4 separate regions of the Mus musculus genome follow, and regions 1, 3 and 4 are each reported to be linked to region 2. The links are microRNA targets in miRTarBase. Many come from high-throughput screens and were not tested one by one. Region 2 holds a microRNA gene; each other region holds the end of a gene's coding sequence.
The links. The annotated mature microRNA mmu-miR-295-3p reads AAAGUGCUACUACUUUUGAGUCU and lies in region 2 at 3,424-3,446, shown strand. An mRNA with a match to its seed (bases 2 to 7 or 8) in the 3' UTR can be bound and repressed. Matches are read on the target gene's strand: a 7mer-m8 pairs with bases 2 to 8, a 7mer-A1 pairs with bases 2 to 7 and ends in A, and an 8mer does both.

Region 1 (7,991 bases), not on the chromosome of region 2:
AAAAACCCAAACAAAAACAAAAACTAAAAACAAAAACCAAAAATGTCTCACTGTAGAAGCTACAGTGTGTCATGGTGTGTCACACACTATACCCTCTTGCCTAACCACCTTTATTTGCAAATGTCCATTGTAATGAGTCATTGGTCTGGGTCAAGTCCTCTGACTTCTGCTATACCATCATTTCTGGATCCTTACTGGGACTCCTCTTGGATATTCTGTTTTTGTCCTGTGTCACAGAGATCCATGTATAAAGGACTAGGTACTTTATATCCTCTAGCAGTATATATGAGTGTAGATGTTGGGGTGGGCCAACATAAAGCCCTGGAGATGTTGGGATGGACCTGGATCTGGGCCTGGGTAGAAGCTGAGTTTGTCAGACCACCAGCTCTCCTGTAACCACATCACCAGGGTCCTTTGCCTAGGGATGGTTCTCATACACACATGCAACCAGGGCCCATTCTGCTAGGCTCTGCAGCTGGTGAGGAGTGGGGCCAATTCCCCTGATTTCCTAACCTCAGACCAGCTCACCTCATTGCACTGTGTGTGTGTGTGTGTGTGTGTGTGTGTGTGTGTGTGTGGGATAGTAGATCTCTCATGCTCATGCCACTTCAGGGCAGATATGTGGTAGGGACAGCTCTCATATGATCATGCTCTTTAGGACTGGCTCACCATCACCCTCAACACCAGGGCCAGCTCTATTGTGCTGCCCAGGCAAGGTGCAAAACCTGCTCTCCCAAGTGCTGCAGCTCCTGAGGGGCAGAGCCAGTTCTCTTGTTCTCCTGCCCTGTAGGCCAGCTCACCCACCTGCTGCAGGTGGTGTGTGTGTGTGGGTGTGTGTGTGAGTGTGAGAGAGAGAGAGAGAGAGAAAGAGAGAGAGAGAGATTTGTGTGGGAGGTTAGGGGTGTGTTTGTGATTTGTACTCAGTGGTAATCCTCCAAGGGCCATGTCTGAAGTTTTCATAGAAATTCTTAACAGATAGGATTTCATACAAATCAATGTCTTCTTGCTCTACATAAAGGACACTTAGGAAATGAGGCACATATGGTTTGTATGGAGGTCTAATATGCATAAACAAGGAATGTACATGGTTTCAAAATCAGCTCCTTTCCTCATGGGTTTCTGAACATAACAATATTGATTTTCCTCTGAGGTTTGTTTGCTGGGGAAGCTGGGATCCTTTTTTGTTGTTTTATTCCTTACACCAGTCAGCAGGAGCACAGGCTTGATCTAGAATTTTGTTTGTTACTATAGACTTCTCTTTGCAAGAAGGAGCATACTCAGTGCCATACCAAAGTGAGTTTATTGACATTCCTTGAAGATGTATGATGTAAGAGAAAGCGAGGCCTGAGTATCACATAACATTTCTTTTGTAGATGTAAGCAAAATCAGCCCAGTAATATGACGTCTCCTGTTATTGACTAGAACAAAGACTTGTAAACAAAATCTTATGGACATTTCCTTAGATAATGGAAGCTGCAGGAAATAGACTAACGGAACAATATTTACTCTATATACTACCTCTAGGCACCTTTTAGCTACTAGAACAAAGGGACTACATGTCATTAACAGGAAAATAACACTTTCTCTTTTGGACCTTGTGATGGCTGGAATAGTCATCCTGCACATTTATGATACAGTATTGCAGTTTTAGTGATGAACACTGTTAGACATAATTGTAATAATAATAATAATCATAACAACGACGACAACAATAATAATAAAGCACCACATTTTGTTATGTAAAGTTCTAACTACTTTCATTTGAAAGTGTTTCATCTTGACTGGGAAAACATTTGTGGCAACTTAAGAAATTTTCTGAACCCAAATTTCAGACATGTGGCTTGATACATGAACTATTGATGAAACTGAATATTGTTAGACATTTTGTGGGAAACTCAGCTCACTGGCTTGCCATACAAATATTCTTACTGTTGAATGATATAGCTTCATTATTAACAGGAAAAGCATTTAAATCTTTCATAATGAAAGCTTGCCAAAATCTCATTAAGCATTTGAATATTTTCATTACCTTTCCTGAAGTGTTTGTGCTATAATAATGATGGTAGTAAACCATCAGGGTGTTCTCGAACTCATATACACGGGATGTCACAGAGAACTCAGTATTCTAGAGTACTTCTGATCTTGATGACTCAGTTTCTATTGGGAAGATTGTCATCTTCATGTTATTGAATAATATGTTTGTATTATCTATAAAATTATAACACCTTATTGTCTTTTTCAAATTATAACATACTTTTTTAAATCTTTTAAATATTTTTGTCTTCTCCCAAAAGGTATTGTATTATACTCATAAAACTAGATATAAAAAAATCTTGTTTTAGGGAGGTTATGACTTACAGGTAATAAATTTCTAATTAACTTTATGGAGAAAAAAATTCAAAGAATAACATATGGTCACAAAAAAAAAATCTGTGTTACCCAAAGAATTATATGATTTGAGGTGATTTATCTCCAACCATTGAAATCAATAAAAAACTATTTCTACAGCATTTTCCTTACATGTAAATGTATACACATATACATATAAACATATATAGTTATATGTCCATATGCATATATAATGAATTAGACATAATTTCAATGTTCTCATGGATGAAGTGGGACGTGTCTATCCATGACTGGCTTTTGAGCTCCTCTCCCCTTTGTTTTCCCTTCTTCCATGAAAGGCTGAAGTCACGTGTTGGGCTCTGCAAAGCAAGCTTTACATTCTCTCAGCAACTTTGGTGTCAGTATAAATGACATTTTTAATTTTTCTAGAATACTATTAGTATATAAAGAGGGGTTCACAAGTCCCCAGCCCTATCTGAGGAGCTATTGACAGCCGATAGCTGCTAAGAGTCAGTTTTCTTTCTTTCCTTTTGTCTTTTTTTTTTTTTTTTTTAGAGTCTTACTAGGTAACTCTGGATGATCTGGAATTTGCTCTGTTGACCAGATTGGCATTGAACTCACAGAGCGCTGCCTGCCTCTGCCTTCCAAGTGCTGGGATTAAAGGCATTTTAATGCCATAAAGGTGCACCACTGCGGCCGGCTATGACAATCAAATATGTATATGTGTATGTACACACACACACACACACACAAAATGATACATTTATATCTTCCAGGGGATGACCTCATACTAATTTAAGATATGGACAAACAGCACAAATTGGACTCAATGGGTCATTAAAAAATGACATGACACTGAGAAGGAATGGAATATTGGGGAGTGAATGAACAAGGAGTTAGGGAGAAGAGTGTTAGGTGAATATGATTGAAATACATCGCAATAACTTCAAATAATTAAAACGAGTATGTTAGAAATGCTATTGCTCTTGGGATTTGTGTAGAACCTTGCATAAGGGTAGAGGTATAACTAAAAATTAATTTAAAAATGCATTTATCTGAGTTTCTTATTCACATGTCATTTCTAAGAAAATTTCTTCCTTCTGTATGTTGGTAGACTATATATTAATCTATTTAATAGATTGTCTCATTTCTGCAAATTGTAAAGCTCTTCAGGAGCAGCTTCCTACATTTGAACAACATTCTCCTTTTCAATGTATGGCAAGTCAGTGGTAAAAAACTTGAATGGTTGAATTTTTTTGTGAGGTTTTTATGTATGTATAAGATGAATTCTAAATATGCTATTCTAGGAGTTAAAGATTTAGTGAAAATGACTTTAGCAGTGCTTTTGTTCCGAGTTCATTAGTAAATAACAGCGCCATTGGACTTATTTTTCAGATTCTGAAATATGGGCCAAATCTTACCCCTCAAGCTGTGTTTCATACAATGTACATCCCATTTTTTAGTAAAACTTATTTTTGATAGCAATAGAAAACTAAGTTTGTATCATATATACTTCTTGCTTAACAAAGAAACACAGGAACACAGAGTGTCTTGGCATTGTGAATAATTTTTACTAAGAAAATATTTTAATGTGCAGGAACAAAACACACTGCTGTACTGAGCCACGAGGCATGGCTTCATCCTAAGTTAGCTTTACATTCTCAGACTTGTTCTTTTATTTTAATATGTTGACTACAACAATGAATATTTAAATAGTTGGGTCTCTTTAGCTTTTTTTTTTCCCAGTGAAGAAAAACCACTTTCATTTATGTCGTATTTCAGACAACATGGATAACATGGTTACAAAAAATAGCAAATGACCATTATGGTTAAATTTATCTCAAATGTACTTAAGATGCCAGGCTGTCTGTGGAGCCTGTGATTGTTTTTCTAAAAACACATTTTCTTAAATATTTTGCTGAATGCTTTAAAAAAATGGATTTTTTTTTTGTGGACACAAGTCAGCGTGCCTTTGAAGAATCACTAAGGATGAAGGAAAAGTTTATATTGCCCGTGATCCTTAACAAGCACCATCGTGCTCTGCAGCTTTGTATGTGGTGTCTGTGAACATCAGATGTGACAGAATTTGAACACCATGATTTAAAAAAAGGAAAGGAAAGGAAAAAAAAAAGAATGAGAAAAGTATCAAAGCTAAAAAGAAGCAAAAGTTTGGCCTATCACGTAAATAAACTTGGCTGCAACAAAAGCCATGAGATTTATTTGGACTATGTGTGCGTGAGAATAGATTAAACAAAATTCATCGATTGGAATAAATGTCATATGTCCTGTCCTTTTTCCTGTTTGCCTTATCACTTTTTATGGTGACAAAATTAGAGGTAAAGGCTCATCCTTCAATCTACAGCAATTAGGATTTGCTCCTTGAACATGGTACACAAGTTTGTGCTTCTTGGGTGGTGAGGGTTCACCAGGGCAGATCCCCCACCTCACTTTTCTGAACTCAAGTTGATTTCATAGTCCATATAACCCTTGGATTTACTGATAACCTTTTCCTTCTTGCTGTTGTTAATTGCTGGAAGTTTCATATTTGCACCATATGTCTAGGTTAGTTCTGGCTGATGGGGCTGATACCACTATGAATCATGAGTTGAATGAAGAAAACGTTTCTGTGTGGCCTTGGCTGTCCATTTGGATAGAATGAATAGGAAATGTAGAGATAGAAAGGAAAAAATTAGTCAGCTCCCAGGTCTGGAAATAGTTGCTAGAAATTAGGAAAAATGGAGGTTCTGTTTGGAAGACATGGGCATTTAAAAGCATGGAATGCTTACAGCTCAAATTATCTTTAAATGATAGAAATGGAAGTAAACATTTATTACCATTTCGTCAAGTGTAGCATAACTTGCACTCATATTTCATTGTTAGGAATGGAGGTATGTGGAAGTATACACAGACCTTGAGACAGCTGTTTTGTAGTATTGCATACAGGCTAGCAGTTCATTGGAAACAGAGGAGATAAGCCTGAAGATTAGATCTTAGAAGAAGGCAATTCTTCATGCACAGCTTTTGCCAATTCTAATTTGCTTTGAAATAAAAATCATGGAATACCAAAGTCAAAGGAGGGAGTAAGTCATCCCAGAGAGGGTGGTGTCACTGTTCAGGACAATGCCAGGCAAGGCTCCACGTCTTCACTCAAGTCCAAAGGTGCTGGTTTCTTCTACTGCTGTTAACAGCTTTTCATACAACATGGAATATGAAGGGTATGGTGGGAGATCCAATCGGTTGAAGCACGTATGTGCCCTGAGTTGGGGAGAAAATACTGGTGAGGGTATTTTAAGGACTGCTTTTGGTTACACTGATTACTTAAAAGAGGAAATCAAAAGTAAGCCAGACAATGATTTTGGTCAATCAAAAAAGACTGCAAATGGCAAAGCATGGCTGTTGAGATACAACAAGTTTAGGAAATTGAAGACCTAGAAACAGTTAATTGTTATTTGTAAATAAAACTACACTATACTACAAGCACAGTAGAGAACCAACAGTCAAGTCTATGCTATTAGCCTAATTTGAAATTTAAATAATATGAAGGAGGTGGAGACTTTATTAGTGCTAATGGATCATTCCAAGACATCCTTACTTCCCTCATGAGTTCTAGGCCTTGTTAAACCACAAGTATCTACTTGGAAGAGCTACTGGTACTCTGTTATCCTGAGATCCAGTTGTCCATGCCAGGTGTGTTGTGGAAACAAGTTTAACTCCTCTATACCAGTGCAACACACATCAACTGAAGCTTACATGGCCTACACCCAAGGACCACTGAGCATGTGGGACACTCCTTCCGCAAGCCTGGGAGAGTCTTCACATCATTGTCATCCATGTAGCCTTGCTCAGAATGGTTTCATTCTGGTGGCTCATACTTGCCAGAATCTGTCCTAGACTAGCTATGTCTTTCTTCTTACATGGATAATACAAGGTATAGGAAACACTGGATAATTCAGCGGCGAGCAGAGGAGGTATAACCACACAGATTTTTCCATGGTATCTGTTTCCTGCCAGGAACTCTTTGTTTCTATGGAAACTTGATTCTGGTCTTTTGACAAAGCAGGAAAAAGAGTGTATTGGCACAGCTGGAAGCTAATTTTATACCTTTTCCTCCCAGGTTGGGTGAGCAGTATGTTGAAGTTGTGTTTATACATCAACCAGCACAGAAAAAGACACTAAGCTAAAACAAAACAAAAAAAAATCAGAACAACAACAACACTCCATAGGCTACAACTAAACACTCAGAATTTTATTTAGGATGTTGGTGCTTGAATTGCGAGATCCTTTGGGGAGTTTATAACCTATACCTTTGATCTGACAAATTAGAGTATTAGAATAGAGTGTCAGAAATTAGAGTGTGTGGGCTCAGGATTCAGGATAGTGCCGCTTCTTTGGGAGATAAAGGAAAAGGGATTAAAGAAGGAGGAACATGGGGTTTTCTGCTGGGGGAGAATCTGGAGAAGGTGTTGGTGTTTGTCTATCCAGCATTCAATCTTGCTTTTGGCAACAGCTCCCTCCTTATCCTCGTGTTCACACTACACCACACTTTCCTGCCTGTCTTCTTCCTCTTCAAGCCCCAAGTGCCTGCCCAAGACAGTAGAATATCTTACTGTAGGCTTGAAGGACTTGATTTGGGGAAAAAACATGAAAACAAATAGACATTAGCGGAGCTCTGTAATTACTTAAGTATCAGGAAGACCTAGATCACTTCAAAAAATATAACTGAAGTATTTTAGTTATTATAAAATATTTTTAAATAAAAAGTCAAAGAATTGAGCAGGACAATGATTATAATGATTTTCTTGGTGTTTAGAAAGGCAGAAAGTAGAAAATCCATTGGATTGTGGCTGACATAATTAGGCAGTACAGTAAGAGCTAACAGTATTAATATATATTTAGAGAAAATATGTACATTGCATTTAATCTGTCTCTTTAGTAACAAAAGCAATGACATTTCCTAAAGGATAAAGCAGAAACTCTACAGAAGGCTCATTTCTTGGTGAAAGGTACCAAAGTATCTCTCTCTTCACATCCTCTCTATATATTAATTTATTTCCTGTTGCTGTGACAAAACATCTGACAAAAGGAATGAGGAAGGGGCAGTTTATCTTGACTCAGTATGGAGGTACAATCTATCCTGGTAAGGGAGACATGATGTAGTAAGGAGGTGGATAACCATATGACAAGAAGCAGGAGAGATAAACACACTCAGCTCACTGTCTTCTCTTTATTTAATCCAAGATCCCAACCCATGGAATTATGCTGCATATATTTAGGGTGGGTCTTCCTACCTCAATTACTTTACCTAGAGACATCCTGGAATTCTCAGAGGCGATTCAAGTTCCCAAATAGTCAACAGCTACCATCTCATCCGTGAACATTTCTCAGGACATTTTGTCCTCTGTTGACTGTACTTCTTTCTGAGCATATGCTGGTGTTTGCTCCATTCAGAACTATATCATACTGCTCACCCAGCCTAGAATTTCTCTCTGCTCTGTCCCGTAATGTTCACCAAATGCAAGCTGCTTGGAAGCATTTTCTCTGAGTAGTTCAATTAGGATTAAGATTCTGTTTCACACTCTCCTATCACATTGCTTTAAGCACCTTGAATTCCTCTGATTCTCCCTTATGCTGAAATTAGTTAT
Region 2 (7,246 bases):
AAAGGTAAAAAAGAGGGAGGATTTGAAACTCTGGATTTAAAAAAAATTCAAACGAAAGAATAAACTGAACCTCCCACATTCTTCCTTTATTTATTTTTATTATTATCTTAATACTGAATGTAGCCCTGCCTAGTCCCGTGCCTAGTCACCATAGTAGACCAAGCTGGCCTTGAACTAACAAAGATCCTCCAGCCTCGGCCTAGAAAACTATAGGATTAAAGGCGCTGCTTCTAGAAACAAACAAAGAAATCTGTTTCCTCTGGGGGGTGGGGGGGAGAAGAAACCAGTGAAGGTCACTCTGCCGCAGGGAAACTCAGCTCAGAGGAAGCAGGGTGGTAGAGTAAGGATTCTCCGGGGTGGGGGAGGGGTATCAGAGCCTCCCAGTCCAGGGGGCCAATGAGCCTTCAGACTATATAAGAACCTAGAGCCTCCCCCACGCCTCTCAGAGACTTCTACTCCACATCGGGAATGCTGGTCTCTGCGGTCTTCAGGGATACCTCCGGCGTGCTGCTTCTCACATAGGCAAAGGTAATATTTTTAGTTTCAGATTTTTTATTTCCTTCAGTTCTGTGGTTTTAATCTACCTGGTTTAGAGAGGCGAAAGTAGATCCAGGATTTCCAGAAGAGAGATCTTCCTGCTTCAACTTTGGAGATGACTAGCCAGGCTGGCCTTTAACTCTCATTTCTGCCTGCCTCTCTGCCTCCAGATTAAAGGTCATCACGGCCATCTTCATTCTACTTTTTAAAAACTAGAGCCCCTTTTTTAAAAGGCAGGCTAGCCGCGAACTCAGCCTTCCTCGCTCGCCCCCACGGTTTGGCTGGGTTTACTAATCCCGAGGCAGAGGCAGGCCCATCTGAGGTTGGTCTGGTCTCCAAAGAAGACATTTAGAACTAATGTGTGTGGAAAAAGAGTTGGGCTTTTTTTTCTGACTTGGTCTACATAATTTCAAGGGAGGAACGAGCCTATGTGGGGAAAGTGAGTAGTCTGGGCGCGAGTGAAGTTTGGGGACCAGAAACCAAAGCTAGGAGTTACTGAGGGCAGGTCTAGGGAGTCTATGCAGTACATTTCATTAACTACGTGGTTTCATTGTAGAAATTTTGAGTTTCACTATACCTTGAGTTAGACCGATGTACTAACTCTTCCTTGATTTCATCCAGGTTTCCTTCAGGTTGGAGTGAATTTTAAGTTCTCCACGTTCTTTCCTCCTGGTAAATGTTTTAACGTCTGGACCGCCTCATCTTGCGGTACTCAAACTATGGGGGCACTTTTTTTTTTCTTTAAAAAGTGCCGCCTAGTTTTAAGCCCCGCCGGTTGAGAAAACGGCTATCTGGCACATTTACCAGCCCTGGTGCCACGTGTTCCGGGTTAACTGCAGCGTGGTGAGTACGGATTCGAAGAAAGGAATGAGACTGAGTATAGCGAAAGGCTAGGGATGGGCATCCTGCCCAGTAGACGGTAACTGAGGTGGTCGTTGTAGGGTACCTGGGGGCTCCATGTGCGTCCTGTCGCTGCTTGGAGCTGTTACACCTATGTAGCGGCCATCAAAGTGGAGGCCCTCTCTTGAGCCTGAATGAGAAAGTGCTTCCACTTTGTGTGCCACTGCATGGGGAAAACATCATAGCTTTGCATCTGACGCATCGGTTTACAGGAGCGGACAACCTGTGTGGGGGTTTAGGCTTGGAGTTTAATGGGTCCTATCCTAAAGAGGGCGGTTCAGTTGGGTGCCACGAGACGCGGATGGATGTAAGGCAGTCGTGAGTCCAGGTGCATTGTAGATTGTTCTTAAGCTTGACCTCCAGCCTGTGATACTCAAACTGGGGGCTCTTTTGGATTTTCATCGGAAGAAAAGTGCCGCCAGGTTTTGAGTGTCACCGGTTGAGAACTCAAAACGGCTAAGAACTAAGAATTAAGTTTTAGTGGGTCATGTTTTCACTGGGGTTGCATTTCTGGGCAGGTGGGTGTCACATGTGGGTTTGAGTCCGAACACTTGGGCGCATGCGGTACTAAAGGCTTTCCGCGTTCATAAAGGAGCCGGGATCCCACATGGGCCTCGCTCGGAGGAGCTGAGCCTCAGGTCTTGGAAGTTGGAACATACAGTGTCGATCAAAGTGGAGGCCCTCTCCGCGGCTTGGCGGGAAAGTGCATCCATTTTGTTTGTCTCTGTGTGTACATGGCGTCTGAAAAGCCGGCTGCAGCTGCAACCTGGAATCGCTTACCTGCTTGAAACAGGTATGTGTGCTGGAGGTGAATTCGTTGCCACTGGCTACTCGAGCTGCAAGGCTGGAGGTGAGGAGGAAGCAGGGCAGGGTGGAAGGAGGCACTCCAGGTCCAGGGGTGGTGAGTCTAAGCCTCAGGTCTGAGTAAAGAAAGGCCTACTTTTAAATCTCACGTGGCCGCCATATTAAGTCCTCTTTCAATTTTTTTCCTTTTTCTCCAAACAGGGTTTCTCTGTAGCCCTGGCTGTCCTGGAGCTAACTCACTTGTAGACCAGCCTGGCCTCAGCTCCATCCACCTGGGATTAAAAGATCCTATATATCTTGCTTGACTACTGTAGTTGCTATATCTTGCTTGACTACTGTAGTTGGACTGATGGTTGTGAGTCTTGATATGGTTGGATTGAATTTTTAGGACCTGCTGGCTGTAGCTGACTTTAACCTGGCTCCTAGCACAAACAAGCTTGGTGGACAGCCGGGTAGATAATACCCATAATACCTTTTGGCTTTACAATAGCCCAGGCTCATGAGGGCTGGGATTACAGGTGTTACATTGTGTGCCCTAAGCATAATCTTCATGGATTCTCTTTGTTTTTCAGGTGTTCCAGTTGAGTTGAATGTAATCCTGCCTAGCCTGGGGTACTTACTTGCCTTCAACCTGCCTGGCTGGCTGGTCTGGCTAAGAACTGACTATAAAGTTTCAGGTTTATTACCACAGCAGGTCCCTGTGGAAATGCTTCAATCTGTGGTACTCAAACTGTGTGACATTTTGTTCTTTGTAAGAAGTGCCGCAGAGTTTGTAGTGTTGCCGATTGAGAAACTGCAGTTGGCCTAAGTGTTGCATCATTTGGGTGTCATCTGTGGGTATGATTCAGTCTGTAATGGGGCAAAAGTAAAAGCTGAGGTGCACGGAACCTCACGGGAAGTGACCCAGATTTGACAGGTACTGTATTACATATAGCTGCATTTATCCTTTTGGCATTGAATAATCCTTAATCTTCAGTTCAGTTGTAGGCATGTTTGGATCTAGCGAAATTCCATATAGCCATACTCAAAATGGAGGCCCTATCTAAGCTTTTAAGTGGAAAGTGCTTCCCTTTTGTGTGTTGCCATGTGGAGAAAGCATCGGAACTTCAATCAACCAGAGACTCCTTGCTTGCTCATCTTGGTGAGACTCAAATGTGGGGCACACTTCTGGACTGTACATAGAAAGTGCTACTACTTTTGAGTCTCTCCTGTGGGCACCATTCACAGGTCGGCTGCTTTCATGCATGTGTAGTGTGTATCTGAATCCAGATGAAGGTTTCCTGGAACTGGGACATGTGGGTGCTATTGAATGAACCAAGGTGCTATGGGAGCAACCAGTGCCCTCAGCCTCCAAACATGAATAATAAAGTCTTGTTCTCTTGATTTTGCTGCTTTCTCAGTTTTTGTTTTAAAACACCCGCCATGGTTCCTAGGGATAAAAAAAGCTTGCAAGCATGCAAGCACCCTTTTAATCACTGGGGTTGAGACTAAAGGTAATCCTGGGCTATACAGAAAAACCCTGTCTGAAAAAATCCCCAAAAGTTAAACCAACACATAGCTGGAAGTGTTTTCAACAGTAATAGGGCACCTTTTGGGAGACACCCCTGTTTGCCTCTTGGGATTTAGGCATGCCACCCCTCCAATGGTTTTAAGGAAGAATTACCCTGTACTAGCTTAAAGGTGCCTTTAAGCATAGCCACATTTAAGCCCACATTTGTTTATATACTGTGAGTCTTTTCCATTTCTATACATCATGGCCAGTTCCTTTTAGTGGAGTGTCTGGATGGTTACAAGCTAACCTGAAATGGGGTGGTGCCAGGTTTTAAAAAGTAGTGGGTTGGGGAGCAGGGTGTGGGGGAGGATATAGGGGACTTCTGGATAGCGTTTGAATTTAATATAATAAAGGTAGATCTCTGGGTACTGTACTGGAAGTGGGCGGAGTTATCCCATTATAAGTGGTGGAGCTACCACGTGGTTGCTGGGAATGATGTCTGCCAGGCCTCACTAGTGTCAGGTCGTGAGTCATGCACAGCCATGATTTCTGCATCCTTGGCCACCTTGCTCAGTTTTCTGGAGTGTTGAGATTCAATGCGAACACCACCACAGCTGGGCAAAATCTAATAACCCAGGATAGGATGGGAGCATTGGCTGTCAACTATACCAGGTGTGCAAATCTTGGGTTTTGAGGCCTCATTTGTAAGGTGCCTTATACCTTTAGCCCCAGCCCACTTTTTTTTCCCCCTGCTGTATAAAATTCAGGTGTGAGTACAATTTTTCTTTTTAAAGATTTATAAGTGTTCTGTAGCTATCTTCAGATTCACCCAAAGAAGGCATTGGATCCCATTACAGATGATTGCAAGCCACCATGTAGTTGCTGGGAATTGAACTCAGGACCTCTGACTTAACCACTCCAGCCCTTGAGTACAATTTTTGAAAAATTACCTTGTGGGTCTTTATGCTGTGACTTGGCCAGTAGATGGCAGTCTTGGTCCATGGAAATGTCTAGGACTCTGGATATTTTTCCTTTTCTGTGGTCTTTACTGATCTTCAAACCTGCTAACCAGCCAATCCCCGTCCTAAATTATCTGCGTGGAATCTACATCAAACCCAGTGAGCTCCATCAAAGGTTGAGTGTTTAGGTCTCAAGCAGAACAATTTTGTCAACCTGCACTTACTGGGCCTCCTGACCTAAGACGGTCCCATGTAACAGGATGACCTTGAGTGATCTTGTCTCCACCTCACCATATACCAGAGGCTGGCCTTTAAAAGTTCCACCTCAAGTGCTTCAAAGCAGAGGGAATAAATATCCTGGTCGGCTTCATTCTGGTTCTCCTTACTGCTCAACACCCAATATCCAGGTACGGTTTTGTGACTCGAAGTGCTGCCATCCTCCTGTGAGTCTTTTTATTCAGGTCCATCCCAAACAGCCTGGGGACAAACATGGGACTATCAGTACAGTATGCTGCATTTTAGCCTGGTGAAAAGGGAGTCTCCCTACTCCTTTTTAAATATTTACTGAGGCTTGATCGTATGCTTCTGCTCTTGCACAGGTCAGTCTACATACAACCATTCAACCCGTTTAAATCCAGCTCCCAGGGATAGGACATCCCCTTCTTGCCTGTGGTTCCCGCATGCATATATATATATGTGTGTATGTATATATATGTATATATATATGTGTATATATATATGTATATATATGAATAATTAACATAATCTTAAGTGCATGGTAGTTGAGACAGCTCATGGAGCACTCACCTCAAACTTGGCCTCAGACTTTACAAGTACATGCCCTGGGATTCCGGAACATAACAAATGCAAATTTTTAAAATACTTGTAGGGTTAGTACATGTGTACACTTGAGTGCTTTCCTGCTGAGCCATCTTCCTAGCTCATCTTTTAAGATAGGATCTCACTAAGTTGCCCAGGCTGTCCTTGAACTTGGGACCCTCCTCTGAAGCTGGGATCCATACTCCTAGGTTTTCTTTGTTGACTGTATGCCATGATGTGTCAGCGAGACAGAGATGAGTTTTCTGTATGTGTTCTCTCCTACTCATGGGTCATGAGGACTGAACTCAGGTAATCAAGGTAGACGCTTCACCTGCTGAGCCCTCTAACCAGCCCTTTGTTTTATTCATATCAGTATTCTGCATACATGTATGCCTGATCCTCCTATATGCAGTGCCAATGGAAGTCAGAGGATGTTATTGGATCCCTAGGATCTGTAGTTATAAGTGGTTGTGAGCCACTAAGTGGGTTCTGGGAGCAGGGTCCTCTGCAAGAACCAATGCACTTAAGCACAGTGCCCCTCACTCCCAATTTTTTGTTTGCCTGTTTGAGACGGGGTTTCTTAGCAGCCTTGGCTGGCCTGGAGTGCTGGGTTCCCAGCCACGCTCAGCTCCTTATTCCCAGTTTGAAGTGTCTTCAGTCTTTAATAAGAGCCTTAAGAGAGTCTTACTTGCACTCTTCATTTATAGCTGCAGCTACCCTAGTGTGGAAAACATATCAAGTGTGTAACAGACTCAGAACTTTCAGATTCCAGCTGAGACTTGATCTCATCTGAAAGAACAGGAAGAGGATGGAGAGATGGCTTAGGAGTTAAAAGCACTGCTCTTCCAGAGGTCCTGAGTTCAATTCCCAACTACACGGTGGCTCACAACCATCTGTAATGGGATCTGATGCCCTCATCTGGGGTGTCTGAAGACAGTGACAGTGAACTCATAATAAAAATAAATCTTTCCCTGGGCATGGTGGCCCATGCCTTTAATCCCAGCACCGGGGAGGCAGAGGCAGGTGGATTTCTGAGTTCGAGGCCAGCCTGGTCTGCAGAGTGAGTTCCAGGACAGCCAGGGCTACACAGAGAAACCCTGTCTCGAAAAAAAAAAAAAAAAAGGAAAAAATACGGGCTGTGAGAGATGGCTCAGCTGGTTAAGAGCACTGACTGCTTTGCGGAAGGTCTTGAGTTCAAATCCCAGCAACCACATGGTGGCTCAAAACCACCTGTAATGAGATCTGACGCTCTCTTATGGTGTGTCTGAAGACAGCTACACTGTTGGGGCTGGAGTGAGTAGAGGTCCTGAATTCAATTCCCAGCATACGACATGATGGCTCACAACCATCTGCACAGCTACAGTGTACTCATATACATAAAATAAATAAATCTTTAAAAATTTTTATATAGAGAGTTCCAGGACAGCCAGGACTACACAGAGAAACCCTGTCTTGAAAAAACAAAAATAAAAAATAAAATAAAAAAATTAAAAAAATTAGAAAAATAAAAATAGGAAAAAAGAAGTAATGCATATTGCACTGAATTCCAGGCTAAGGCAGGATGTACTGGTCTTATACCCAGTCCCATGAATAAAATAGCTCCACATTTGTCTATGCAGTTTTATTTTTATTATTTACTTATGTGTAAGTCTGTCTGGGTATGAGGTAGGGCCATGCCTATGAAGACTTAAAAAGGGAATTGGAGCCCTAGGAGCTAGAACTGCAGGTGGGTGTA
Region 3 (7,991 bases), not on the chromosome of region 2:
CCCACCAGAGGTAGTAGAAAGGAAAGGTTATTAGGATATCAGGGAAGTGGACCTGTTTAGAAATAGTTCTTTGGAGCAAATCCCTTCTGCTTGTCAGGATACATACCAGCAGTCCAGTTCAGTAGAATCAAGATTGCAAACATGAATCAGCAGTGGTGGCACAGCCTAGCAGAAATAGCCAGTCCTCAGCTGAACTGGCAGGAGTCAGTAAGAGTGACCAGGAACAGCAGGGATACCAAAGGTTCTCTGCTGTGCCTCTCAACAAAGTTAAGATCAAAGAAGCATGAGACCAACAAAGTGTTGCAAAGCTAGCTATGCAAGCCCCACCTCCCGAACTCCAGTCACTGTCCAGTTGAGTCATTTTTATTCTCTCTCCAAACATCTTGTGCTCTCCCATGGTTGGTACCTCAGCAAAACTCCATAGGAGTCTGTACCAGCTGACATCAATCAGCTCAAGTCTGAGGAAACAGAAGCCACCAGAACATCACCAGAATATTCTTGGTTATGAAGTCACAACAAACGATGTTTAAGGAATAGCAAAGTGTACTGATACCATCCAGCATAGTCCATGGTCTGTTGGCTCCCTACCTCCATGCGTCCTTTCATATTTGCTTTAGCAAAACATCCTTTCACCTGTGTCCCCTTCAGGAAAACACTCCTTCACATGTCTGACCCAGAACATACCATCAGACACAACTTGCTTCCCAAAGAAACTTCACACTGCTTCGAAAAAGTGTATGTATGTGTGCATGTATGTATGTTTTATTCACATGTATGTCTGTGTACCACAAGCATACCCATAGACACCAGAACATTGGCTCCATGGGTACTGGAGTTACAAGTGGATCAGTTTAAACACTTCAATTCTGTGCCTTTCTAACCCTTCAGTCTGGCTACTCGGACTCCAGGATGAGGCCTCCAGTGTCTCTATTTAGTAGGGACATGCCTAGCTGTCCTGGACTCCTGGGTTTGTTCTGACCCTCTGGTGGCCAATGTAGAATATCCCAGGCCTCATGGGAGAACACCCAGAGGAGGATGGCCAGAGTGCACTTCACCACAGTGGGGAACCTAGCCTTGGGTGACATTCAGAACAGACCCCTGCCCCCTCTTTTGTTGTTGTTGTTTTAGGGAATAGGGTTTCTGACTCACCTGCAACTATGTAGACCAGGCTAGCCTCCAAATCACTGTTCTGCCTGCCTTTGAGTGTAGGGATTAAAGCCAAATGGCACTCTGCCTGCCAGACCCAAAAGAAAGTGAGGACAAATCTGTGCTGCTTCTTAGTGAGTTCTGTGCTTCAGGTTTCCTGGGTTCTAATTGCCCATGTCTCTCCCACCCACCCCTACCCTTCTCTTGCACATGGGCTTCCCTCCCTAGCATCTTAGTCCCTTATAAACCTGTCACTTTTGAGTATTTGTGTGCTTGGTCATCTTTGGTCTTCCTCTCTTGATCATCTCCTCTTCCTCGACCCACTCATCTCATGGACAAAGCCAGTCTGCTGGCCATGTCCCATCTACTTCTCTTTCTCCCTGTTCTGGACTCTTCCAGATGCCTCTGGCTGCACTCTCCCTTATTATCTACAACAAAAACCTTCCCTTCAACCATACTTTGGAGCAGTTATGGCCTTAGTTTACACTTCTGATACACTATTTAAACACCTAGGTTCAATGGATTCATCTTGAAGATCAAAAATCTTTAGAGCTGGTTGACACTCAGGTTTTTTGTGCATGTTCATGTGTACAAAAGCATGTCAGGGCCAGAGGGGAACCTTATGTGTTCTTTTAGGTACCATTTACTTTGCTTAGGCTAACTGGCCAGTGAGCCTCAGAGACCACCTGTCTCCATGTCAATTGCTGGAATTACAAACCTAAAACATCATGACTGGCTTTTCTTTTTACCCTCTGAACCATCTTGCCAACTCCTACCTGACATTTTTTTTTCTTTTTAATTATTTGTAAATGCTCTAAGTGTTCAGGTATGTGTAGATGCCAGAAGAGGGTTGTCAGACCCCCAGAGCTGGAGTTACAGATGGGCTGTTAGCTGCCTGACAAGGGTGCTGGGAACTGAACTTGGGCCTCTATAAACTGCTGACCCATTTCTCCAGCTCCTGTTTTATTTTTTCAAAAACAAGGTCCTGTAGCCCAGGCTAGCATGAGGATGACCCTTAACTCCTGATCTTTACCTCTTCATTGCTGGGATCACAGATACATGCCACCTTGCCTGGCTGTGGGGCGTTTTTGCTATTTGGGATGGTAGACCACTCTCATGAGAAGCTTTGTGTGCCCAGCCAGCTTAGCACAGGCTGACGACAGACTCAACTTTCCAGATGGGACACCTGCTGTCATAGGAGGTAACAACCAGCAAAGCCCCAGGACTCATCTACCTCACTTGCTCCAAACCCCACCATCCAGGGTTGGTGAGGTAGGACCAGGCTTGTTCTGACGATAGAGCCTTCAAGTTGACAAAGGAAGGAGTGGACTCTACCTGAAATCTAGCTTAAGCAGACTCTGGAAGGCAGAGATGCCCAGGTGTGGGGGATGAGACACATAGCTGGACTCTGAATCCTTTCGGAAAGGTCAGTGCTTAGGCACACAATGGCATACCGAAGGCAGTGGATGCTCCTCCCTTGAGTCTTGAGCACTGGGGTCTTGAATTTAGGAACACCTGCAGTATAGTTCAGTTTGAGAGGTGTGTTTGCTGTGCACAAGAGCTTGGTTCCACCCCCAACAAAGTACAAAACTACAAACAAGTGGCTGAAGAGATGGCATGGTGGAGTGCTACCTACGGTCTCAGAAACTTGGGGTTGAAATGTAAGAATTTCCTATGTAAGCCAGTGGAGATCCAGAAACCAAGCCACAAAAAGCAAAACAAACAAACAAACCCAGTCTAATCCTACAGTGGTAGCTCACACTATATAACCTTGGGTGAGATTTGGGGAACAGCAGCTACAATACAAGATCAGCCAGGGATAGACAGTTAAAGTCTGTCAAATTTAAGTCAACCACCTATCAGTAAAACCTGTCTAATTATTTTTTTTTTTGTTTTTTGAGACAGGGTTTCTCTGTATAGCCCTGGCTGTCCTGGAACTCACTCTGTAGACCAGGCTGGCCTTGAACTCAGAAATTCACCTGCCTCTGCCTCCCAAGTGCTGGGATTAAAGGCGTGCGCCACCACGCCCGGCTTTTTTGTTTTGTTTTTTTTTTAAACCTGTCTAATTTTATATGGATTTCACCTGCAGTCAAGAGTCAACTAACCCATGGAAAAGCAAAGAGCCTTCCCTACCCAGGAGCACAAGGGCTGGACCAGGCTCTCCTTTACTGGGTTATTCATATTTCACTGTGTAACCCTTACTGGCATGTAACTTGGGAGTGTTCTTAGCCTTCCAGGTGTGACAGGTGTGAGCCACCATGTCCAGCTGGTTTCTGCGTTGCACCTGGGTACAGGAGCAAGCGTGTCTAGGGGCTTGTATGCTGAAACTGCAGGGTATAACACCCTTCACAGAAGGTCCAAACCAAATATTGCATCAAGATAGGATCACAGGATAAAGCTATGGCTCAGCTGGCAGAATGCTAGGCTAGCAGCACCAGGTAAAGCCAGCACTATGGCACATGCCCATCATCCCAGGACTAGGGTGGTGGAGGCAGGAGAATCAAGAGCTCAAGGTCATCCATGAACAAGAGATACTATCTTAAGAAACAAAAGCTCTAAACACTGCCCCTTCCAATCAAAACCCCACAGCCAAAATCTAAGAGCCAGGTGCTTGGAGGCTGAGGCGTGGCACCAGTGTCTTCAAAAGAAGCAAAAAACAACAAACAAGCAATCAATATCCAGCTAAAATCAAACAGAAAAAGGGGCTGTGGACCAGCTTCCTACCAGGCTGAGTTGATGAAGGGGCTATGCCTCTGCCTCAGGGCTTCAGTCTATAGTAGAGGGGCTGCTGGCAAGGCTGGAGGGAGGGAAATGAAAAGACTGGGGGAATAGTGGTCCTAAAGGGAGAGACCAGCAAACAGACTTCTCACAGATCTCAGCTTACAGTTCCCGATTAAAAGGCTGCTAAAACCAGGCAAAGCCACCCATGTTTATGAAAACAAACCAACCCTCTCAATAGATGACATGCCTTCCTTCACTCAGAGTGTCACCTGTGGCTTAAGGGCTCATATAGGGCTACAGTTAGCCTGGCTCAGGGCTGGCTCTTAGTAACTCCTGGGTTATAATACCTCTTTGTGCTAGCCCATCTGGGATTTCCCCTCAATCTTTAGCTGTTGGACACTGTGGTGGGGTCATGTAGGTGGAAACTCAACATAGACTATGGAGTTTGTCGTGACCCTGTGCTTAGTTTTCACATGCCTGAGATATGGACACTAAAAGCACTCTAACATCAGGACAGATGGCAAGTCGAGAGGTCCTTGTTTGAATTGCTGTATGTACAAAATGCCCTAGAAGCAAAAAAAAAAAAAAAAAGCTTAAATAAATAAGCAGGGCTGTGATGCAGGTATTGAGGGTAGGTCCCTGGGACCCAAGGGCTAGAGGAAGACAGAAGGGTTGGGAGCACCTGGCCATGGGCAGTCTCTGCCACATGGCTCAGAAAGGATGTCCATGAAGGTCTTGGAGCTTCGTCCCTTCAGTCATGGCTTCCAAAGCTCTGAGAAGTGGTCTTCACATTGCTTGGTGAGCACCTGCCTAGATACCATGAGCTGGCAGGAACCACTGTGCCCCGTACCCCCCCATTATTGTCACCCTTAGGGCAGCTATCAAGCCAAGAGGAGCTGAGCTGGTCCCATAACTGTCCTCCATGGGAAAGCTAAATAGCTGCCAGGAAGGAACCCTCTCATTCAGGTCCAATGGGACTTCTGCCTGATGCTTAGGCTGGGCCAAGACGTGCTGCTGAATATGAGCAAGGAGCTTCTTAAGGGCACACGAAGTCTCAGCCTCATCAACTGCGTATGTACACCTCTTCCCAAACTCCTCCCCTGCACTGGGTCACCTTGGAGGACCACTCAGATTAAGAGTCTGACTTCCAGGTCCTCAGAAGTCCCTGAGTGCAGGGACACTGGAAGAACAGCAGACCGAGGAAAGTGAGAGCCATTACTCTCCCCTCAGCTTGCCCTGGGTTGGAGGCCACTTTGTGCAGCTGCACTTAGGTTCGGTTGAGCACTCAGATGATGCCCCTACACACATTGTCACCCTGTTCTTCTCAGGTGACACCCAGACACAGATTAGGCCATCAGTCCCTTCAATAGATGGCACTGAGTCCTGGAACAGGTGCAATTGGCTGTCACCCTCAGAGGCAGATGATGGCTTCAGCACTCTTAGGACTTAGCTCTGGACAATGGTGAGGGACTGGTGGGCACCCTGGTGGTTTTGTTCCCAGAGAGCTCCAGTGTTGGGTCCAAGTTGCGGACACAGGCCTCACAGAAGGCTGGCCAGGCTGGTGTTGGGTCCATTCTGAGCTTGGAACTGCACAGGGGGTGGGCCATCTGTCCACTGTGGGGAGAACACACATGAGTAAACCCCTCCCAGCTGAAGATCCAGAGCCCGTATCCCTATGTCTGTTTCCCCACCCTTTATACCGTAATGAGGTTGTGCTCTGGGAGGCTACAGGCCTCGATGTGGTCCTGCAGCAGCTGCTGTGAGAAGTTCTGGTGCATCTGTGCGGCTTCATGGGCATCCATGGCGTTCCCACATGCCTTGTTTAGGTCTGAGGATGGGGCAGGTGTCACTGTTCATCCCTGGGTGGCCAAACTCATACCAACCCAGGGGAGACAGAGTTACCCTCAGACATCCAAACCCATCTTGAGATGCAGGAGGATCATCCACAAAGCCCTGAGCAGGAACCCAGTCTCCACCTGCCAGAGTTCTTAAAAATCCCCTTGAAAGCAAGCTGTGGTGACTTGGCAGACAAAGGAATGTAAATTTGTGACTTCAAGATCAGCCTTGTTGCCAGGCAGTGGTGGCACATGCCTTTAATCCCAGCACTTGGGAGGCAGAGGCAGGCAGATTTCTGAGTTCGAGGCCAGCCTGGTCTACAGAGTGAGGTCCAGGACAGCCAAAGCTATTCAGGGAAACCCTGTCTCGAAAAACCAAAAAAAAAAGACCAGCCTTGTCTACCCAGAGTTCCGGGCCAGCTAGACCCTGTTTCCAATAAATAAACAAACAAAAATAAAAAAAAACCCTGGAGATACACCGCTGCTTGTATGATGTCAGGGCCCTACAAGCATGCCTGGCAGCTTTGTTCACTCTCACCTCTCAGGAGGGCAGATGACCACAGCTGCACAGACATGTCTGGGATCTTGCTGGCCAGCTGCATGGCAGGTACCACCATGTTGTTACTCTCCTGCCAATCAAAAGCTAAGAATTAACAGTGAGGCCACAGACTCCATCTCCCATTTTATGTTCTGCTGCTCCTGGACAGACTCTTATTGCACCCTCAGAGACTACCTAAACTGGTCCTCTAAAGTACTCTTGTCCACCTTGGGAAAAACAAACTGAGCACTCTTGCCTTCCTCTGCACGTGAGGCAATGAATGGGCCATACATGCCTCTTGCCAGGTAGAGAAAAAGACAGCTCTGGTCCAACAACTAGAATGATTAAAACTATACATTCATGCAATGTCCCAAGGCTCCTGAAGTAGCAACCTGTCTAAGGGCATGGACTGCGTGTGGAGGATTTGCTCCTTTGAGCTGGCTTTTGTAGGCTACTGTGGGGATGTGGGGTCTTTAGACCTGTGACTCCCTCTTAGTAAGTTTAGATTCTGTGTGTGCTGAGCTGCTGACCTAGGTGCCCAGCGTTCTCACGATGAGGCTAGGGGAGTCCTGGAGAGCAGCTTCCTGTTTCTGACCTCACACTGAGAAACCCAAGGGAGTTCTGAAGTGCAAACCATGCTCAGCTGACCTGCTCTACCTCCCCAGCCTGTGGGTCTGGGTACTTTCTGTGACAGAGGTTGAGAGCACTCACTGTCCTTGCAGAGTCCTCAGGTTCAGTTTTTAGTACCCACATGGCAGCTCACAATTGTCTAATTCCTGAACCAGGGAATCTGACCCCTGCTTTTGACCTCTGTGGACACCAGGCCCACACATGGTACATATGCATACATTCAGGTAAAACATTCACACATAAAATAAGTAAATTGGGAAATACCCAAATAACAAATATTGAACGAATAACAAAAATTTAAAAGCCTCAAACCAGATTTCAGTTCTAGGTACAGGTTAATGGAAAACAACCTAACCAAATGCAGCTCAGTTGGGTTATTCAGGCCTTAACCTCCACCAGCCACAACCAAACAGAGAGCAACCCTCCCTGCTCTCTGTCCCTGCTGCTCACCACCAGGCTCACTCTGACTGCCCTGACCTCACAGGCCCTGCTAGCTCCCTAGTTCGGCTAACACAGGCAAAGGGAGTATTTTACAGAAAGCCATTGAGTGGGAAACACTGCTGGACAAGCAGGCTTCTGGCCCACATTGCTACTCTAAGTGCTCCTCCAAAGCACACCACACCAGAGTTCCACAGAGTAACCAACCAGTCTTGCCCAATCAGCAGGCCACAGCACTAGGAACATGAAGGCCACTCCCTGCTCTCCATGGCCAAGTTACCCTCACTACATTTTATAGTAATTTCAAGTAAAAAAGTCTTGTAAAGTCACGTGCTTGATGGTGCCACAGACACAGGAGGGTTTGACATTGCCAGTCTCATCTAAGTTTCTGAGACAGTCCCACAGGGCCATGGATTCCCAAGGGATGGTATGCAGAGAAGCCTACAAGGAACATGGCAGGATGCAGCTGTCTCTTAGTTCCAAGGCTTGTGAGCCCGACACATATATCCTGGAAGGGAATCCCAGGACCCAGGACCCAGGACCCCATGCCTTCCACACCCTGGGTTCCAGGACAGGAAATACCATGCTCCACGGTGCTGCTCCTCAGGTCTCGAGCTAGATAGGTGCACAGGCTAGGTAGGGACTCACCCTGTGATTTCCCAACACATAGAAGATGTGACCCA
Region 4 (7,991 bases), not on the chromosome of region 2:
TATTCTGAGTACGAGGGACCAGAGGACCATAATACAGAGGAGGGGGAGGGGGAGGAAGAGGAGCTGGGGAAGGACCTCAGAGCCTAAGTGCAGTGTGAAAGGGAATGGGGGATGGGTGTGTGTGTGTAGGGGGGTGTAGCACTAAGTCCAGAAGGAAAAGTTTCATTAAGAGGCAACCACAGACCAGGCAAGGGAAGCTTGGCAAGACTGGAGGGACACAGTGGAGCTCCAACAGAGGAGCAGAGTGGGGCCCTGAGGAGGAGAGATTCCAACATTCCACCCATTTTGCAGAACTCAAGAAGGGTTAGAGGAAGAGAAAGCTGCCCCCGGGTCAACCAGGTGTGTGAGCAGAAACTGGGCAGTGAACTGAGGGAGGCCGGATGGGGAAATCCAACTGGGGAGGTGTTCCGGCCAGCTGGACTCGAAACCCCCTCAACTCCCAAGTCTAGGATGCATCATTCTGGCCTACATCTAAAAGAAACTCAAGGTTACTTCAAGTACATAGCTGGACTCCTTCCCACCTGTCAGCTTTGAAGTCCTATTGGGTTGGGCTGGGAGCAAGGATCATCAAAGGATGAGAACTTCCTCTTCCATCTGATGTGTGTGTGTTGGGGCATCTCACTAGTCAGGAAGCCCAGGAGCACAGCAGGCCTCCACCTTCCTGCAACTCCCATTCCAGGCTGCCAAGCCTCTATGGAAGCCCACTCACTGGACACTGCTGGACACTTTCTCAACTGAGGTTCTCTCTGAAAATGACCCTAGTGGTGTTTAGTTGACTGCAAAGTATGCGGCACGCCATCCATTTACAGACACAGATCAGGAACCAACTTCTCTAATGCCATGTTTTCTTCTTTACAAAAAGTTTTTACTAAAACATTTACTTGAGTTGTGTGCACACGTGGAAGCACACACACACAGACAGACACACACACACACACACACACTCAAATACATCTTACGGGAGTCAATTCTTTCTCCCATGTGGATTTCAGAGCCTGAACCCAGGTCATCAGGCTTGTTAGCAAGCACCTTCACCTATTGAGACATCTCACCAGCCAGTCCCTCACCCACACACTGACCCTTCTCTCATGCCCTCTTGACCACATAAGTTCCATTTCTGTTTCCTTATGTTAAACTTTCCCCTAAAGGTTATTTATTTATAACGTATATTTTCAACTTCCTTTTCCCTGTCCCTCTGTCAACCTTTGCAATTTCATCTTTTTGCATCTCATCTCTGAAAGCTCAGGTGGGAATCACTTCTTAGGCATAAAGGTTAAAGTCTGACATTAAGTAGAAAGTTGAACTGATAAGTGGATATTAGCCCAGAAACTTAGGATACCCACGATATAAGTTACAATTTGCAAAACACATGAAACTCAAGAAGAACGAAGACCAAAGTGTGGACACTTTGCCCCTTTTTAGAATTGGGAACAAAACACCCATGGAAGGAGTTACAGAGACAAAGTTTGGAGCTGAGACAAAAGGATGGACCATCTAGAGACTGCCATATCTGGGGACCCATCCCATAATCAGCCTCCAAAAGCCGACACCATTGCATACACTAGCAAGATTGTGCTGCTAGGACCCTGATATAGCTGTCTCTTGTGAGGCTATGCTGGTGCCTGGCAAACACCTAAGTGGATGCTCACAGTCAGCTATTGGACGGATCACAGGGCCCCCAATGGAGGAGCTAGAGAAAGCACCCAAGGAGCTAAAGAGATCTGCAACCCTATAGGTGGAACAACATTATGAACGAACCAGTTCCCCAGAGCTCGTGTCTCTAGCTGCATATGTATCAAAAGATGGCCTAGTTGGCCATCACTGGAAAGAGAGGCCCATTGGACTTGCAAACTTTCTATGCCCCAGTACAGGGGAACGCCAGGGCCAAAAAGTGGGAGTGGGTGGGTAGGGGGGTGGGGGGAGGGTATGGGGGACTTTTGGGATAGCATTGGAAATGTAAATGAGGAAAATACCTAATTAAAAAAAAAGTAGAAAGTTGAATGTTCAATTCCATCCCACTCAGTCATTTGTGACAGGGCAGGAGAACACAGCGTTCCTCTAGCTTGTCTTCTTGCTGAGGCCACTTTAGGTTTAACTAGAATTTGCTCTCCTCCATGGAGAATCCTGTGGGAAATAATTACCAACTCTAAGAGGTCAAGATGCTCCAGCTAATTTACCTTGGCTTCTGTTATACTGCTTGCTTGTACAGCTCTTTCCCTGCAGCTGCCAAGTGAGATACCAGGATGTGGTTTTGCCTTAAAAACCCCTTATGCTAAAAGCTTGGTGCTGTACTGGGCCTCAAAGACCTGAGTGCAGTCACCATTGGCAGCTATGGACTACGTCTGAGTGGTTTTCTCTGGTGGGCACCCCATAACGGCTTAAATAAACATTGCATGATGTGGTAGGCATTGTTCGAGAGATTAAGATACACAGCTACAAACAAAACATACTGATTAAAACATTCCCCCTAGTCCTTATTGAGTTGGCATTCTGGAAACAGGAGCTGACACTGGACAAGCTAGCTGAGAACTCACCGTGAGCACGTTGCACACTGCTGGGGCATGCTGGTCTACTCGACTGTTCCCCATCCATTCTTGTGTGTACCCGACACTTTCCATAGTAAGGTTCTAAATTTATGCTATACTTATTTGTGTGTGTGCACATGTGTGTGCATGAGTATATGAGCATGGATACTCATGTATAGGTCAGATATGATTTACTGTATTTGGTTTTCTTCTTCCACTCAAGAAGACTCTGTGGTCCCCGTGGTGACGTTTTGAAAGCATATTAAATGGAGTACCATTTGTAAACACATGCTGACACTGGGATGTGACAATGTAAATGGGGCAGAATTGACCAGACAGGAGAGAAAGTAACTTGAGAGGCCTGGGGGAGCGTGGGGAGCTGAGGGAATGCCCGGAATGTTCTAGAAAGAGGAAGGTCAGTGTGGTGACAGCAAACAAAGGAGTCTGTGCCAGGCAGGGTCCTTCAGGGACTCAGGATGTTACTGGATGAGAAGAGAACCAGGGGAGGATTCTGAGGAAAGGATCTGAACTCAATCTTCTTCCCAGAAGCCCTTCTAAGTCCCGCACCCCTGGGCCTGTATTTTCTGCTGTCTGCCCTGTGTTAATCCTGCCCCTCCCAGCATGTCTGCTTCCTTCAAAGGTTACTGATGAAAATACTTGAAACAGAAGATTTAGGCATTGGGATTGGGATACTAAAGCTTTGAGAGGGATCTGGAGCAGAAGAGCACACATCACTCAGGAACCCCAGTCCTCCAGGGCCTGGTGCCCAGCTTTGGTGCTACACTTCTCACACTAGCTCCTAAGTCTCACCGGGAAGGACAGCTGCTGGCAGGACTGGACAAAGCCACATCCTAGTGCTGGTAACGAGCAATCACAGGTTAGGGTTTGAGCCTGAAATGTCTCCCACAGGCCTCTAACTTAAACATCTGTCCCCAGATAGTAGTTAGGATGTGTGGGGATGTTCTTTGAGGTGAAGGCTAGCTGGCAGAGGTCAACCACAGGTTGCTCAGACAAGCCCTTTAAGGCCCTGTCTGGGTTTCCATTTCCTGGCCTGTAGTGATGTGAACAGCATCTGCACACCCTGACACCCTCTGAAACTAAGAGCCAAGATGAATCCCTTAAGTCCATATTGATTATTTTGGTGATAGGTGTACAAAAGCAACTGATATAAACACAGAAAAATGACAGAGTGGGATACCAGCATGCACAACAATTTTAAAATGGGAAACTTTGAGAAAGGGAAGAGAGGGCACCAGGGGCTCACAGCCCCAGGAGGGATCTGCTTAATAGTTAATAAAGAGGTAGGAGTGTGTGTGCGCGTGGGTACGTGGGTGCGTGCATGCGCATGTGCAGATTCATGTACCAACAGTCAGAAAGTTCTTGAGTACACATCACAGGCTAAAGAGACAAGGGTCCAACAACACTGACTGCTAACTAATGTGTCCTGCCTTGTGGACTCACCATAGGTACAGCCTAACGAGCTCCCATTCTATTTGTTTACATGAGAAACTCCAAAGTATGGAAGCTAAAGTGAATTTTAAATTTCCACAGGCAGGAGTCTTCCTCAGAGAAAATGTCCAAAGAAAAGCATCTCCTTTTATAGGCGCTGCCTGTATCAAATAGTACTTCATCAGAAAATAACTACGTAATTTTGTGATAAGCTAAACAAATAGCCAGTAGCGTTCACTTATTATTTATTAATTTATACCCTTGATATAAAAATAGCTTAAAAACTATACAAAGGAATATAAGCAAGCCAGTCAGCCTGCCAACATACTCATGCACATAAACAGGGCCACTCAGCAGTCATCATGTGACTCAGTCCTGAGGGGCAGAAGACAGTGGGGACAGACACTCTGGCTGGGCCTGGTGGTGCATCCCTTTAACTTCAGCACTCAGGAGGCAGAGGCAAGTGGATCTCTATGAGTTCAAGGCCACAGATTGAATTCCAGGACACCCAGAGCTACACGGAGAAACCCTGACTCAAGTCTCAAATAAACAAATGACAAAAAAACAAAACAAAACAAAACAAAAAACCCCAAACCATTCTTTTTTTTGGGGGGGGGGGGTTCCAGACAGGTTTTCTCTGTGTAGCTCTGGCTGTCCTGGAACTCACTCTGTAGACCAGGCTGGCCTCGAACTCAGAAATCCGCCTGCCTCTGCCTCCCAAGTGCTGGGATCAAAGGCGTGCGCCACCACGGCTGGGCTAACCCAAGCCATTCTTACAGCATGATAATGTCCTGTTTCCAGTAGAGGGTGAACTTTTCACTTCATGGAGGCCTTTCCAATATCTGAAATGATGCCTGATCATCAGCAGGGGAGAAGACAAGATTTAAGGGGGGCGGGGGAGGGGGAGAGAGAAAGGGGCAGCCACTTGGAAAAAGCACCCAGGGCCAGGGACTTCTCCAGGTGGGTAGTGGGCCAGTCAGACCACCAGCACCATGCACACACATCTACACGGAGCCTGGGTGTGATGCCCTTGTGAGAATCCATGGGGAGAAGCACAGCGTCTAGTTGCTCGTGGGCACATTTCTTTGGTCAGTGAAAGGGCCGGCCTCTTCTGGGTCTGGACCTCAGGTGGCTGGCCGACCTGCGCAGATTTTTCCTTTCCTGACGATGCAGTTTTTCAGCCTCCTGTTGCTTCTTTTGCTGTTCAGACTAAAAGAAAGTGAGGTGAGTAGAGGAAAGGGTCTGCTATAACCCTCAGGGAGGAGCAAAGGCTGCCAGACACACAGTCCTGCGACCAACACTGTGCAGCTCAGCATCACGTCCTGGTGGCGGCAGGAGTTGGACAAAGAACAATTTTCACTGTCAAAGGAGAAATTCTGAATCCCTGGGCAAAAAGAACACACACACCGGGAAGTGTCTGTCCACACACCGGGAAGTGTCTGTCCGCACACCGGGAAGTGTCCGCACACCGGGATGCTCTAAGAGGACTCATGCCTACTTCTGCTTGCACACTGAAACTCTGAATTCATTCACAGACTTAAAGACAAACAAAAAATGTTGCATTTTATCAAATGCATATCAAACGTGTTTTTTATCACACACATATTAAAGTGCATTATGACCTACACCTGATTAGATAACTCATTAGGGCTGGCTCCAAAGAGCTTTTGGATGCTAGGGAGGGAGAGAGAAAGAGGGGAGAGGAAGGGAAGGAGGGGAAGAACAGACTTGCTATTATTGACCCCTGGCAGTCTGGCAGGGATGGTCTCCACATGAGTTTTCTATCTTCATTTGCTTGAGAGGTGGCAATGCTCCCAGATCCCACTTTCTTTCCAGTGGCACCCCCACTCTCAGCAGACAATCAGTGCAGAACCTCCTGAATAGAGGAGCTAAGGAGTCTGAAATCCATACCAATACTTGCTGTTGGCACTTGGAGCTTTAGCACACTTGGATAAAATGCAGATAGATATTCACCAGTGTTTCCCTCTTGAAAAAACCATCTGAGTTTAAAGAGAGGGTGTGGGACGATATGGTGAGCCCACAAAGGGCCCATCTCTGCATTCTGGTAGCTTGGGTTCCTATATTACTCCAGGTCCATTTCTGATGACCAATATATCCTGTGCATTTTCAAAATAAACCCTGCCCAGTATGCCCTTCCGATTCAGGTGGCAGCCTCCCTCTGCAATTCCAGGGTCCCTTTCTCACTGGGTGGAGTAGGGGATGGAGATGTAACCACATCTTCCTGGTTCACTCCTATGGTCAACATTACGTCAGGCTGGTGAGGTGGCTCAGTAGGTGAAGGTATCTGCCACCAAGCCTGGTGATCTGAAATTGATCACCTGGGGGGGCCAAATGGTAGAAGAGAGAAATAACTAACTCAAGTTGCCCTCTAACCTCCACATGCATGACATGGCACCCATGCACGGACACACACAAATATATAGAAAATACTGTATGTCAGGCCTCTGCTTCCTAACACACTGCTTAGACTCTTTGCCATGAGCTCACAGGCACTTCCTCCACCAGAGCACTTACTTTGGGCTAATTTGGTAAATGTGTCATTTGCCCTATTTCCTTAGCAGAGAGAATGGGCTGAGCCTCGCAGCCAGTCAGAGCACTGCACTGGTTTCCTGTGTTAACAGGGAGACTCTGGCACCTAGGGACTACACTGCCCTGGAGACTAAACTGCACATCATCAAGACCCTCACAGAGTTAGCACAACTATTTAATTCTGATGAATGAGGCTCTGCGTTTGTTTCAGTGAGAACTTGGGGGGGGGGCAGGGGCAGAAGAGGGGGGAGCATATTCTGCCCTACATATTAATAAGTTCCCCTTAATCCTCCCCACCCTCCACAGTGTCTGCATCGCTAGACTACCTTCACACTCATCATCTTCCTGCTTCAGCCCCAAGAGCAGATTAGGGTTGTGGGTATGCACTACCAGGTCTGGCTTCTAAAATGCATGTCTTGTTTTTTGTTTGTTTTGTTTTTCAAGACAGGGTTTCTCTGTGTAGCCCTGGCTATTCTGGAACTCACTCTGTAGACCAGGCTGGCCTCAAACTCAGAGATCCACCTGTCTCTGCCTCCCAAGTGTTGGGATTAAAGGCGTGTGCCACCACTGCCCAGCTAAAATGCATGTCTTTAGATGTGCTGAATCCAGATAGACAGAATGCTGGGAGCTCTAAGGATTTTTGGAGTGTGGGCCTGTTGTTACAGTATGAAGCAGGACTGTGGGCAGCTCTGGACAGCTTCTCAGCCTTCTCCAGGCCAAGAGCTGCCAGAGGAGCTGGGAAGAGGCCTCTATTGTTCTGTGGACAAAGCTCCCCACACACAAGGTCTATCATTAGCCTCTCTCCCCAAGGCTGCGCTGGGAGACCATGCCACTGTGTCACCCACTCATCAAGATTTACAGGGCAATTAGCTCTTTTCCAAGTCAGCTTTCCTCTTTCTCCTTGTTCCTGTGCAGCTGCAGCCTACAGCCCTCGTGGGGCAGGGGAGAGGACAGACGCTAGCTGTGGAGACATACACACATTCTCCCTGTGAATTCTACTGGCACTGTAGAAAGCACCTACAGACATCCTGGGCAACTCCACGATTTTGCCTCAGTGTATCATATACAATAAACATAGAGCAAAGGGAAACGTCTATAAACAAATACACAAACATGTTTCTAAATATATATTTAACAGTGATATACTAAATAGTTAAGAGCATGCCAATCAAGTAATAAAACTCATAAATCAAGCATTAATTGACATAGCATATTCTCCCAAAGGGTTCTGAAGCCTACAGTTGATTCAGCTCTGATGTCACTTCAAGCAAGTCTCAGGGTATCTCCCCATCTTTTCATTTTACTACAAATTTACAAAATGACATTCAACTTTGTGCATTCTGACTTGAAAGTTCTGTGGCGTGGAAATGACTGCGTCTTCTCACTGCCAGAGCCAGGCCTGTGACCAGCATCCTCCCACTGAGCTATCTCCCCAGCTCTGAGACAAAAGCTTCGAGTGGGACGGTT

Region 1: miRTarBase lists Hecw1 as a target of mmu-miR-295-3p. Seed matches in the 3' UTR shown: 7mer-m8 at 2,996-3,002.
Region 3: the mRNA of Mau2 is a reported target of mmu-miR-295-3p. Seed matches in the 3' UTR shown: 7mer-m8 at 3,141-3,147.
Region 4: miRTarBase lists Nol10 as a target of mmu-miR-295-3p. Seed matches in the 3' UTR shown: 7mer-m8 at 4,694-4,700.

What each region holds. Positions count from the first base shown.
Region 1 is chr13:14,225,157-14,233,147 of GRCm38, forward strand. It overlaps Hecw1 (HECT, C2 and WW domain containing E3 ubiquitin protein ligase 1), which reads right to left. Exons shown (of 29, transcript NM_001081348.3): 29 at 1,282-5,604. The coding sequence ends at 5,493. Among named protein-coding and RNA genes, the nearest start is that of Gm26129, 140 kb to the left of the region's middle.
Region 2 is chr7:3,217,392-3,224,637 of GRCm38, forward strand. It overlaps Mir295 (microRNA 295), which reads left to right and starts at 3,382; the gene lies at 3,382-3,450. Nlrp12 (NLR family, pyrin domain containing 12) reads right to left here. Exons shown (of 10, transcript NM_001033431.1): 10 at 4,119-5,169. The coding sequence ends at 5,082. D7Ertd143e (DNA segment, Chr 7, ERATO Doi 143, expressed) reads left to right here and starts at 1,393. Exons shown (of 1, transcript NR_028425.1): 1 at 1,393-3,624. Mir291b (microRNA 291b) reads left to right here and starts at 2,091; the gene lies at 2,091-2,169. It also overlaps Mir293, Mir294, Mir290a, Mir290b, Mir291a and Mir292, and 1 more gene.
Region 3 is chr8:70,014,180-70,022,170 of GRCm38, forward strand. Mau2 (MAU2 sister chromatid cohesion factor) reads right to left here. Exons shown (of 19, transcript NM_001376946.1): 16 at 7,957-7,991; 17 at 6,241-6,331; 18 at 5,568-5,695; 19 at 348-5,481. The coding sequence ends at 5,407. Among named protein-coding and RNA genes, the nearest start is that of Mau2, 25 kb to the right of the region's middle.
Region 4 is chr12:17,426,307-17,434,297 of GRCm38, reverse strand. It overlaps Nol10 (nucleolar protein 10), which reads right to left. Exons shown (of 21, transcript NM_001008421.1): 21 at 4,203-5,183. The coding sequence ends at 5,064. Among named protein-coding and RNA genes, the nearest start is that of Gm36752, 6.2 kb to the left of the region's middle.